2 linked regions of the Saccharomyces cerevisiae S288C genome follow. The protein of the gene in region 1 interacts with the protein of each later gene in a biochemical or structural test. Each region holds a gene or a part of one and is shown on either strand. Other genes may lie near its edges. The genes, in order: HSH155 and CUS2.

Evidence for each region.
Region 2: the proteins of HSH155 (region 1) and CUS2 form a complex in vitro, tested with the Saccharomyces cerevisiae proteins (one study listed by BioGRID).

The regions. Positions count from the first base shown.
Region 1 is NC_001145.3:843,475-849,132, reverse strand, and holds HSH155 (U2 snRNP complex subunit HSH155), read right to left. Parts: upstream 3,563-5,658; coding exon 647-3,562; downstream 1-646. Other genes in the region: aminodeoxychorismate lyase ABZ2, read right to left, coding at 1-448; DSS1 (exoribonuclease II), read left to right, coding at 3,788-5,658. UniProt on the Saccharomyces cerevisiae protein: Contacts pre-mRNA on both sides of the branch site early in spliceosome assembly.
Region 2 is NC_001146.8:93,472-96,668, reverse strand, and holds CUS2 (U2 snRNP complex subunit CUS2), read right to left. Parts: upstream 1,447-3,197; coding exon 589-1,446; downstream 1-588. Other genes in the region: SEC21 (coatomer subunit gamma), read right to left, coding at 1,868-3,197. UniProt on the Saccharomyces cerevisiae protein: U2 snRNP protein which helps to refold U2 into a structure favorable for its binding to SF3b and SF3a prior to spliceosome assembly. Mediates functional interactions between U2 RNA and PRP5.

The sequences.
Region 1 (5,658 bases):
ACTTCAATAAATCATTCAGAGACGTGCTGAAGTCAATTTTAAAGTATGATAATGCTATTCTTATTCTTTGGTATTGTTCATCTAATAAAAAAAATCGTTCATAAATGACTTGTAGCATATCTTCTACACGCTGGCACACAATGGTCTTGCAATCATGCTTCCAAGCATCAGGATGCTGAATATTTTCGAGAAGGTCACCGCCGGAATTAACCTCCCTTACTCGTAAATAACTTGAGTAATCCTCATTAATTATCTGCTGCCTAATATCTTCGTCTCTCAAACCTAATCGAGGGTCTGGAGTTTCAAAGATCTCTTTCTTTGACGCTGACTGGCGTGCAAAACCAGGGTCGTACCTGAAAGTGGCCAGAACCTCGAAGTTCGGATTAGCAACTAGGCCTCCTTCATCGTAACTTTCCATATCAGTCTTCCAATTGTCCATTAGTGACATCTATTTCTTATTATCCATGTCTCGCTCTTCATCTTTCTTTTACTCACTTTCACAAAATTTTTTCCTGCCCTTTTTTTTCCAATAGCAGGTTCTGTTTATATTTCATCATAATCTATGAAGGCATCGTGACGTGATGATATAGGTGTGTCAAGTAAAATATTCTTACAAGTTGTGGTTATTTATATGCTCTATATATATTCACAGAACTAAATCCAGTTCTTCTATATATTCTTCATTGTTGTCTGGTGTAACGGGGTAAAAAGGTACCATGGCGTCCTGGTACATTACGTACATGTTATTATACACCCTCCAAAATGCTTTCCTTACATTCTTCGCTGGATGGAACAATCCTGCCCATATGTAGTTCATGAATAGTCCAGGGCCAAGAGCTTGACTCAGTGCCTCCAAACCTTCTAAAATACGCATAATAGCATGTGGTGAAGTTTCAAAAATATTGGGTATTAGAAGATTCATTAAATGAATGAAGGCATCTTCGTGACCTGTACCTGAACAGTTTAAAGCTAAGTGGGTTATTACGTTCGACGCTGTCTGACGATGAACTAAATCCCTATCGGTGAGTGCATCTTCTAATAATGGTGTTATGAAGTATATGTAATCCTTAGACATGTTACCAATGTACTCAAACATGAATGACATGGCCTTGAGAACACCGTTTTGAACATTAGTCTCTGGTGTTGTGTATTCATTCATGATTACTGGCAGCACGTTGTAAGGACCACACACTTTAGCAACGATACCGATAGCAACAGCCGTGCATACACGTAACTGACGTTCTTGAACCTTTAAATTGTTCAATAACGCAACAAGAACATCGTGAGGTCCAATTGCTTCAGCAATGAATCCAAACGTGGCATTTGCTGATCTTCTTATTTCTTTATTTGTACTTTTCAAAAGTTCTAATAGTTCAAAACATATTCTCATCCATTCTTTAGGAGGTGCATAGGTAGGTGCTAATTTACCAATAAGTCCAACAAATTTGATAGTGTTTACTTCGACTTTTCTATGCTTGTTTCTTAAAATTGGAGTTAAGGTTGGTAAAATTTGATTAATAGGAGGTTGTAGTTTATCCAAATCCATTACGCTAGTAATACAGTACATAGCGTTGATTATAGAACCTAATACCTCTGGATATACTTCGCCTAAGGATTCATACAATATAATGTTCAATTTATTCAACATTTCGAATTCGTGACAGTTCTTGATGACTGGTATTAGTATGGCACATAGATCTGCTGCATGTTGACGAACCAAGGGAGTTTTATGCTTTAAATGATTTAAAATCGTACTCACAATGGGTGCTAAAAACGGTTTCATACGGATGTCAAGTGACACCGTCACTGCCCCAAACCCTTTAAAGATTATAGAATCACTATTTGTTTGTTCTTGAAATGCTATCAAGAGCGCATCAATAAGCCTCGTTTCTAATCTCTCATCTAAATCTGCTGTCCCTAATAAGTTTACTGTTCTAGTAACAGCATGGACAGCCATTGTTCTGAACGGCTCAGCTTCATCTCTCAATGGTGTTAATAATTTATCAATGGTATAAGAACAACCTAATTTCTTTGCTAATGTAACAGTAGTATATGTAACAACTTTGTTTAATGGTCTATCCAATGCCACTCGTCTGACCCAAAATTTTTGAAAGAATTCTGGCGCGATTTCTTCTCTCAGAAATTTTGGCGTTATGGATTCTACAGCGCTACATTTTTGTAATACTAAAAGAATGGTCTTTTTCATTTCATCATCGGGAGAGTCGAATTCACGTCTAATTATTCTCATTGCTTCTGTGGTATAATAACCGGCATACTCTGGGTCCATCAATGGGATCATAGATCCAACAGCTTTTAAAAAAGAAGATAGCACTTTACCACGATGACTTCTTATACCCTTCCATAATGGCTCCAGTACAACGTTGAAAACTTCGATACCATATGGATAAGAATTTTCTGCTAGTGTTGATAAAGTATGTGCTGTAACAATTCGCACCGGAACGTGATCATCCATTAGGCAGTCTTTGATACAACTCATCAGCCCAGTAAGATGATTCAAGACACCTATTCCCAAAAGTATACCTATTTGCTGCACAATTTTTATGCCAGTATGCCTTGCTTTCCAAGACTTCCGTGAGTGGCATGCTGCATTGATGAAAGGAAGCAATTGATTAACACCAAGGGCTTTTGCCACCACAGCCGCCGCTCTTGAAGTTACATTTCTAACATACTCATCCTCATTCTCAATATCAGGTCTCATTACTGTTAGAATGGTTTTTAGGCCAGCGACTGTAGACAGATTGGTGATTATCTCCTGGCCTGTTGAACGAACCATTGGATCTTCATCTATTAGCAATGGGGCAGCTACTACAAGTATTTTGTGAACGTAAGGTTTTGTTAAATCTCCTAGCTGGTAAAGGACGCGATCTATGGTCTTGATCATTAGATGTCTTTCCTGGTCTTCCAAACTTCTGTCTAGTAATATGGGCAATAAGCGGTTAAATATCATTTCTGGACCAAATGTAACAGCTTTATCGGTTAAAATCCGCATAGAAGTCCTCCTACTCGCTGTATTGCCATTTTTTATTTTCAGAAGTAACATCGACAGGGTTCTTTCTTTCTTTTCATCCTTATTTAACTCATCTATGGGTTTTTTGGATATAACGTCGGCGAAATATTTATGGTCAGAAGGTTTAAAAAACATCAAATCATGGATTCCTTCTACATTAACCAAAGCACTATCAGAGTTTTCTTTGACCGCTGTTGAAGATTCATCAGGTGGCTCGTACCCTTTTACATCCCAACGAGATTTTCTTTTCCTTGGCACGACAGCGTCTTGGGTATTTTCTGAAGACGTAACAGTTTGTGTATCGGAATCCGGCTCAAACTTCATATCAAACCTTCTTTTGTGGTATGAATCCTCTCGATTTTGCACTGTCCTAGTTTCCATTTTTTCCTGTAGCACATCTTTTTCGTTCTCACCAATACGTGCAGCTTCTTTCTGCAGGTTTTCCCTCAAATCCTGAGGAATAGAATATTGACCGCCTAATTGGTGGCTCTTATCGCTATTATTAGCGTTTACAAATTGAATCGGATGACTCATGATGACAGGTCCTGGCTTTCTATGTTTATTATGTATAAGTAATTGAAGAGATGTTTCAGTTCTAACTCATCGAGAAGGAGATTTCTGCTCGGGCAAATATCAATGCAAACCCGAATAAGCTTAAATACTAACAACGTGCCAAATAACAGCAATCACGTCTAAAAAGCTTTCAAGAGACGATAATTGGTTGTGCATATCTGTCAGCGGAATAAATAAAGACAGGTGATGGTAGTTAGGCGGAAAGTACATGTTCTTCTAATTGCAAGGAGCTTTCATTCCTACACACCTTGCTTCAGAGTAACTACCAGAGGCAAACGACAGCGAAGTAAGAGTAAGCAGCAAGCAAAAGTAGAACTAGATCACACACGAGAGCTAGATAATGATCAAGCTACAGAGACAGTTGTAGACCGTTCGGTTGGACCGGAGAAAGATATAGAATCAATAAACAAAGACTTTCTGCAACGAACAAAAGGATTAGAGCCTGATATTGAATTAAAACAACTGCCTCAAATTAAACAGGAATTTAACCAACGTTATAAAGATAGGTATGTTAAACCTTCCGAAGATTGGTACGTAAACTCCTGGAGGTCTTTAACAAAACCAAAAATTCCGCTTTACAAGTTAATAAATTCAGATTTTCAATTAATAACAAAACTGAAAGCTCCAAACCCAATGGAATTTCAACCTGTTCAGCTAATGGAAAGTCCCTTAAATGTTGGTGACTTTGTTCTTTTAAAAATGAGACCCAATGAATTGGCGATGTGTGTAAGTCTTCCAAGTAGCACTATGGATCCTCGATACACTTTTGTTACTATTGATGGAACTATGTGCTTTGCGACCAAAAACCGGGTGTTATTGAGGATTCCTCACAAATTACCTGCTGGAATCCATTCACTTATACAGCCTGAGAGCCATCACAAACATTTGCCAATTGGAACCGTTAAGAACTTTTCTAACCAAACGAATATTTTGCCTATTGTAGCAAGGCAGCTAATAACAAGTAGGTATCCAGCCCAAATTTCAAAGTTGGCCTGGAAAGATTTGCCCATTACTACCAAAAAATTACAGTTACTCCACAGATCATTACAAAATTATATGGGTCCATGGCAGATTCCTTTTTTTACCCTAGTCGGATTAGTTCAGAAATTGGATTTAAATAAAGCCTTGGACGATAAAAATGGAATAAATTACTTAACTAGTTTAGTTAATAACTATCACACTGTAAACGATATACCAATAAATTCACCTACCTTTGTTTCCACGTACTGGGCGATTATGCAACAACAGGAATCGAACCTTTGGGGGGAAATCCATCTGAATACAGCGTTGCTGTCGCCTATATCAGTAACGATTATTCCCTTAAAATCACAACATTTATATTATGCGCAGGTGATAGAGAAGCTAGAAGCCAACAGTTATAGAGAGGTCAATAAGTTTGTAAAATTGGTGAATGAAAGGAAATATCGCGATATATCAGCTTTATATCCTTCTGTGATCCAATTATTGAAAGATTTTGCTGCTGGGAATTTTCACAATAACGGAATTATAGTAGCTTTGATCTCAAAAATATTCAGAAAGATAGAACGCTATAAGGATTGTGACATCACAAGAGATATATGTCAAGATTTAATCAATGAGATAACACCCAACTCAATACCCAATCCATTGTTACTTAACATGGATTTAGCATTACCTGCTTCCTCGAAGTTAGTGAAATGGCAACAAAAACTCTACGACTTAACTAATATAGAAGAATTGCAATGGAAAAAATCCGGCACTGATGACGATAGGTACGATTTTGGCGATCTTAGGGTTTTTTGTATAGACTCTGAAACTGCGCATGAGATTGATGACGGCGTGTCGGTGAAAAACTATGGTAGAGATGGACTGTACACTTTATATATTCATATTGCGGATCCAACTTCTATGTTTCCGGAAAGCACTAATGTTGATATTGAGGGTATAAGTACAGATATCCTAAATGTTGCCTTGAAAAGATCATTTACCACATATTTACCAGATACGGTTGTTCCTATGTTACCTCAATCTATTTGTCACTTATCAGATTTGGGGAAACAAGGACAAAGGACGAAAAC
Region 2 (3,197 bases), on another chromosome or scaffold:
TTATAGCCTTTATCAACAATGGAATCCCAACAATTATCTCAACATTCACCCATTTCTCAAACACAGCTTCAGTATTGTCTGAGCTTCTCGTTTAACATTCCTTCTGCAATAGGTGCAATCACACTTAAACGTATACGAGGTGTACATTAATATACGATGTAAGCATTAGATTGTTACCATAGCAACACATGTCACTATTAATTACTCTCGTTCCAACATTATCGGAAGAGGTTTGGTTTATTCCAACAATTAGAATCGCAGTAGTGATTACCCTTTTAAGTAATCGCTGTGTTTCGGTGGTGATATAGTCGCCATCACTTATTACCTCGTCATTACAGTTACACCATCCAACACATGGGCGGTTAGTGTAGTGGTTATCATCCCACCCTTCCAAGGTGGGGACACGGGTTCGATTCTCGTACCGCTCAAATTTTTTGATGGCATTGCTTGCATTTTCAAGTATTATATCGACATTTATTTTGTACTGGGAAGTCATAAAGCCCTAATCCATTCTGTTTATTACATTGTGTTCACTTATTTTACTTAAGTACCAAAGATATGGGGGTAATACATTTTTTTACTGCAGTTCTATATAAGGTCATCTTCCACTTCGCTGTCCTCATTCTTGTCACTTGTGCTTGAAGTGTTCTCATCTCCAGAAATGAAAGCAAGCAACTTTTGCCCATCAAAATAACGTCCGGTCATGATTTTGCAACATTGCAATGCAACTTTATTGTTCTTAAAGACGACCGTCGCTTCCCCCTTATTGGGAGATACAGATATACTGTCTACTTGACCTATCTCTTCACAGCCTTCCAAAAGATCTTCCTGAATATCATTTATATCATCATTTGTGTATGATTTGTAAATATTGAATACGTTGGCAAATATCACCGTTCGATCAGCTTTTGCTAGGCTTTCATCGTCATTGTAATCTATTACTTCCCCCTCCCCTTCAGACTTCGCTTTTTTTAGCCTCTTTATTGGAGGCTCAGGTCCGTTGAACTCCTTTAAATCATTTTCTTTCCCGTGCATATTGTCACCTTCCTTGTTTTGAAATTGGGCTCTTTCGACCCTGATCTGTTTTCCCAGGAAGATCGACTCGTTCATCATTTCGATTGCTAATGTAACACTTTCTTCCTTGGAATAAGTGATCAAGGCATCCCCTTTGAAAGCGCCTTTATCATTCACATATAGCTTGCAAAGGGGTTCCCCATCTCGATTGGTTCTTATCATTCCATACTTGCAAAACTGCTCAGTGAGTCCTTCTTTCGTTGTTTTGTCTGTGGGAAGACCAGAAATATATATTGAAGTATTTTTTGAGGCATTATTATATTCAAGCTCTCTTTTCTGAAGATTACTCTCTTTTAACTGTTTCCTTCTAAGCAATTCTTCTTTTTTCAATTTTTTCAAATGACCTTTCAATTCCAATTCATCAGCATCCATCGCTGTCAAACAGTAATGTTGGTAACGGAATACAGTGAAAAGTGTAGTGCGTTCAAGGGTCTGCAGCCTTTTACAATATGCCTGGTCAGACTAGTGCTTTTTTTTTGTTTTTTTTCTTCTTCTTCTTTCATCAATTGCATAATGTCAACTTTTTTCTGCCCTGTTGTCCTGTTTCTTCCATTTCGTTTTCTCTTGTCAAACTATTATAGTATTTTTCTTTAAAAATTTTGTTTATACAAAGATTACATAATTTATTCTTCGTGTGGTGATGATCCGTCATATTCTATCCGTGATTTTTTTGGTTTATTATTGTTCTTGCTGTTCATTCCCTTATTTGCATGCACGCTTGCTAAAGCTGACGCATTTCTTTTAATACTATTGATAACAAAAGAAGGGATTAACTGAAATAAAATTTCACAGCTTACTGCATTAGACCATTCACCAGATCAGAGCATAATAAGCTGTCTTCACCTTTACCATGAACTTTCAAAGCAAGACCTTTCGAACTCTTGATCATCTTAATCTGTAGGGCTACTTTAGATCCAGTTAAAGCACTCTTACCAAATAATTTCAAGGTGTGGGAGTTTGAATCACTTGGAGCAAATTGGGTACTTTCCACCGGTAAGCAGCTACTGTTCAAAATAATCTTATCTACTACTTCTTGTATGGATAAATCTTCTTGAATGTTGAAAACAGCAACTTCTTCGCATGGCAACTCATCAAATGTAGCGGAGAAGTTACCAGTGAAAGAACTCTTAACATAATCACCAGCATTCAAGAAAATCGAGTCAATTTCATATTCATCTTGGAAACCTTCATCACCATCAAATGGCTCATTAGTGTCAGGGTTTATTTCTTTTGTAGTGAATGTTAAGTTGTTCAAGAAACCTTCCATTACAATTTCATCAAGTTTTTTGAATGCAACGTAACAAGCTGCTTCCTCGGATGGTAATAATCTGTCCACTTGTAGGGTGAATAGCTCTTCTAATTCAGCTTCATCAGAAATTTCAGGGGTACAGACTACAGAAACATTGTCTAGGGCAATATCCGTCAGAGTATTCGTAATATTAAATTGTAAAACAACATTGTCTTTGAAGAGATGTTTGACACCACGTACAACGAATTCTGCTTCTGGCTCAGTTAATGAGATAGCCCTAGAACTATTTACTAATTGACCAAATGGTTTAATTTGTTCAATGGATAGCAATTCGTCAGCGTACTTAGTAGCTAGTAGATCTTCTTGGTGGTCGTCCAAGTTTGGACCAGCAAATGAATTAGCGTCAGCTCTTTTTTCTGGAACACTCTCTGCCTCTGGTGTAGTATCCAAAGTGGTTTCAGACTTTTGATTGAAAATTTGTTCTTGCTTTCTCTTCAGATTTATTGCCTTCATTTCATCCTCAGTAAACTTACGAACTTGATTCACATCAAATGCAGTTGCAAATGAATCAGTATTTGAGGAAATGTAAGAACTTAATTTTGACTCTAATGATGGAATATCGTAAAAATATTTGGATTCGATTAGATTTTGTGCTATAACATCATCTTTATTCCTAGCCGAATCAATGAATTCTAGTGCAATGGTGGCTCTGTCTCTGACTTCATCGTCTTTATCATTAGCGATTCTCTTTAACAAACTTATGATTGACTCATATAAGGTAGGATCGTTCTTCGTCAAAGCAAACTTAGATAAAGCTACAACGGCAGCAGATCTAATAATAGAATTTTCCAACACCACTCTGTTATAAATATGT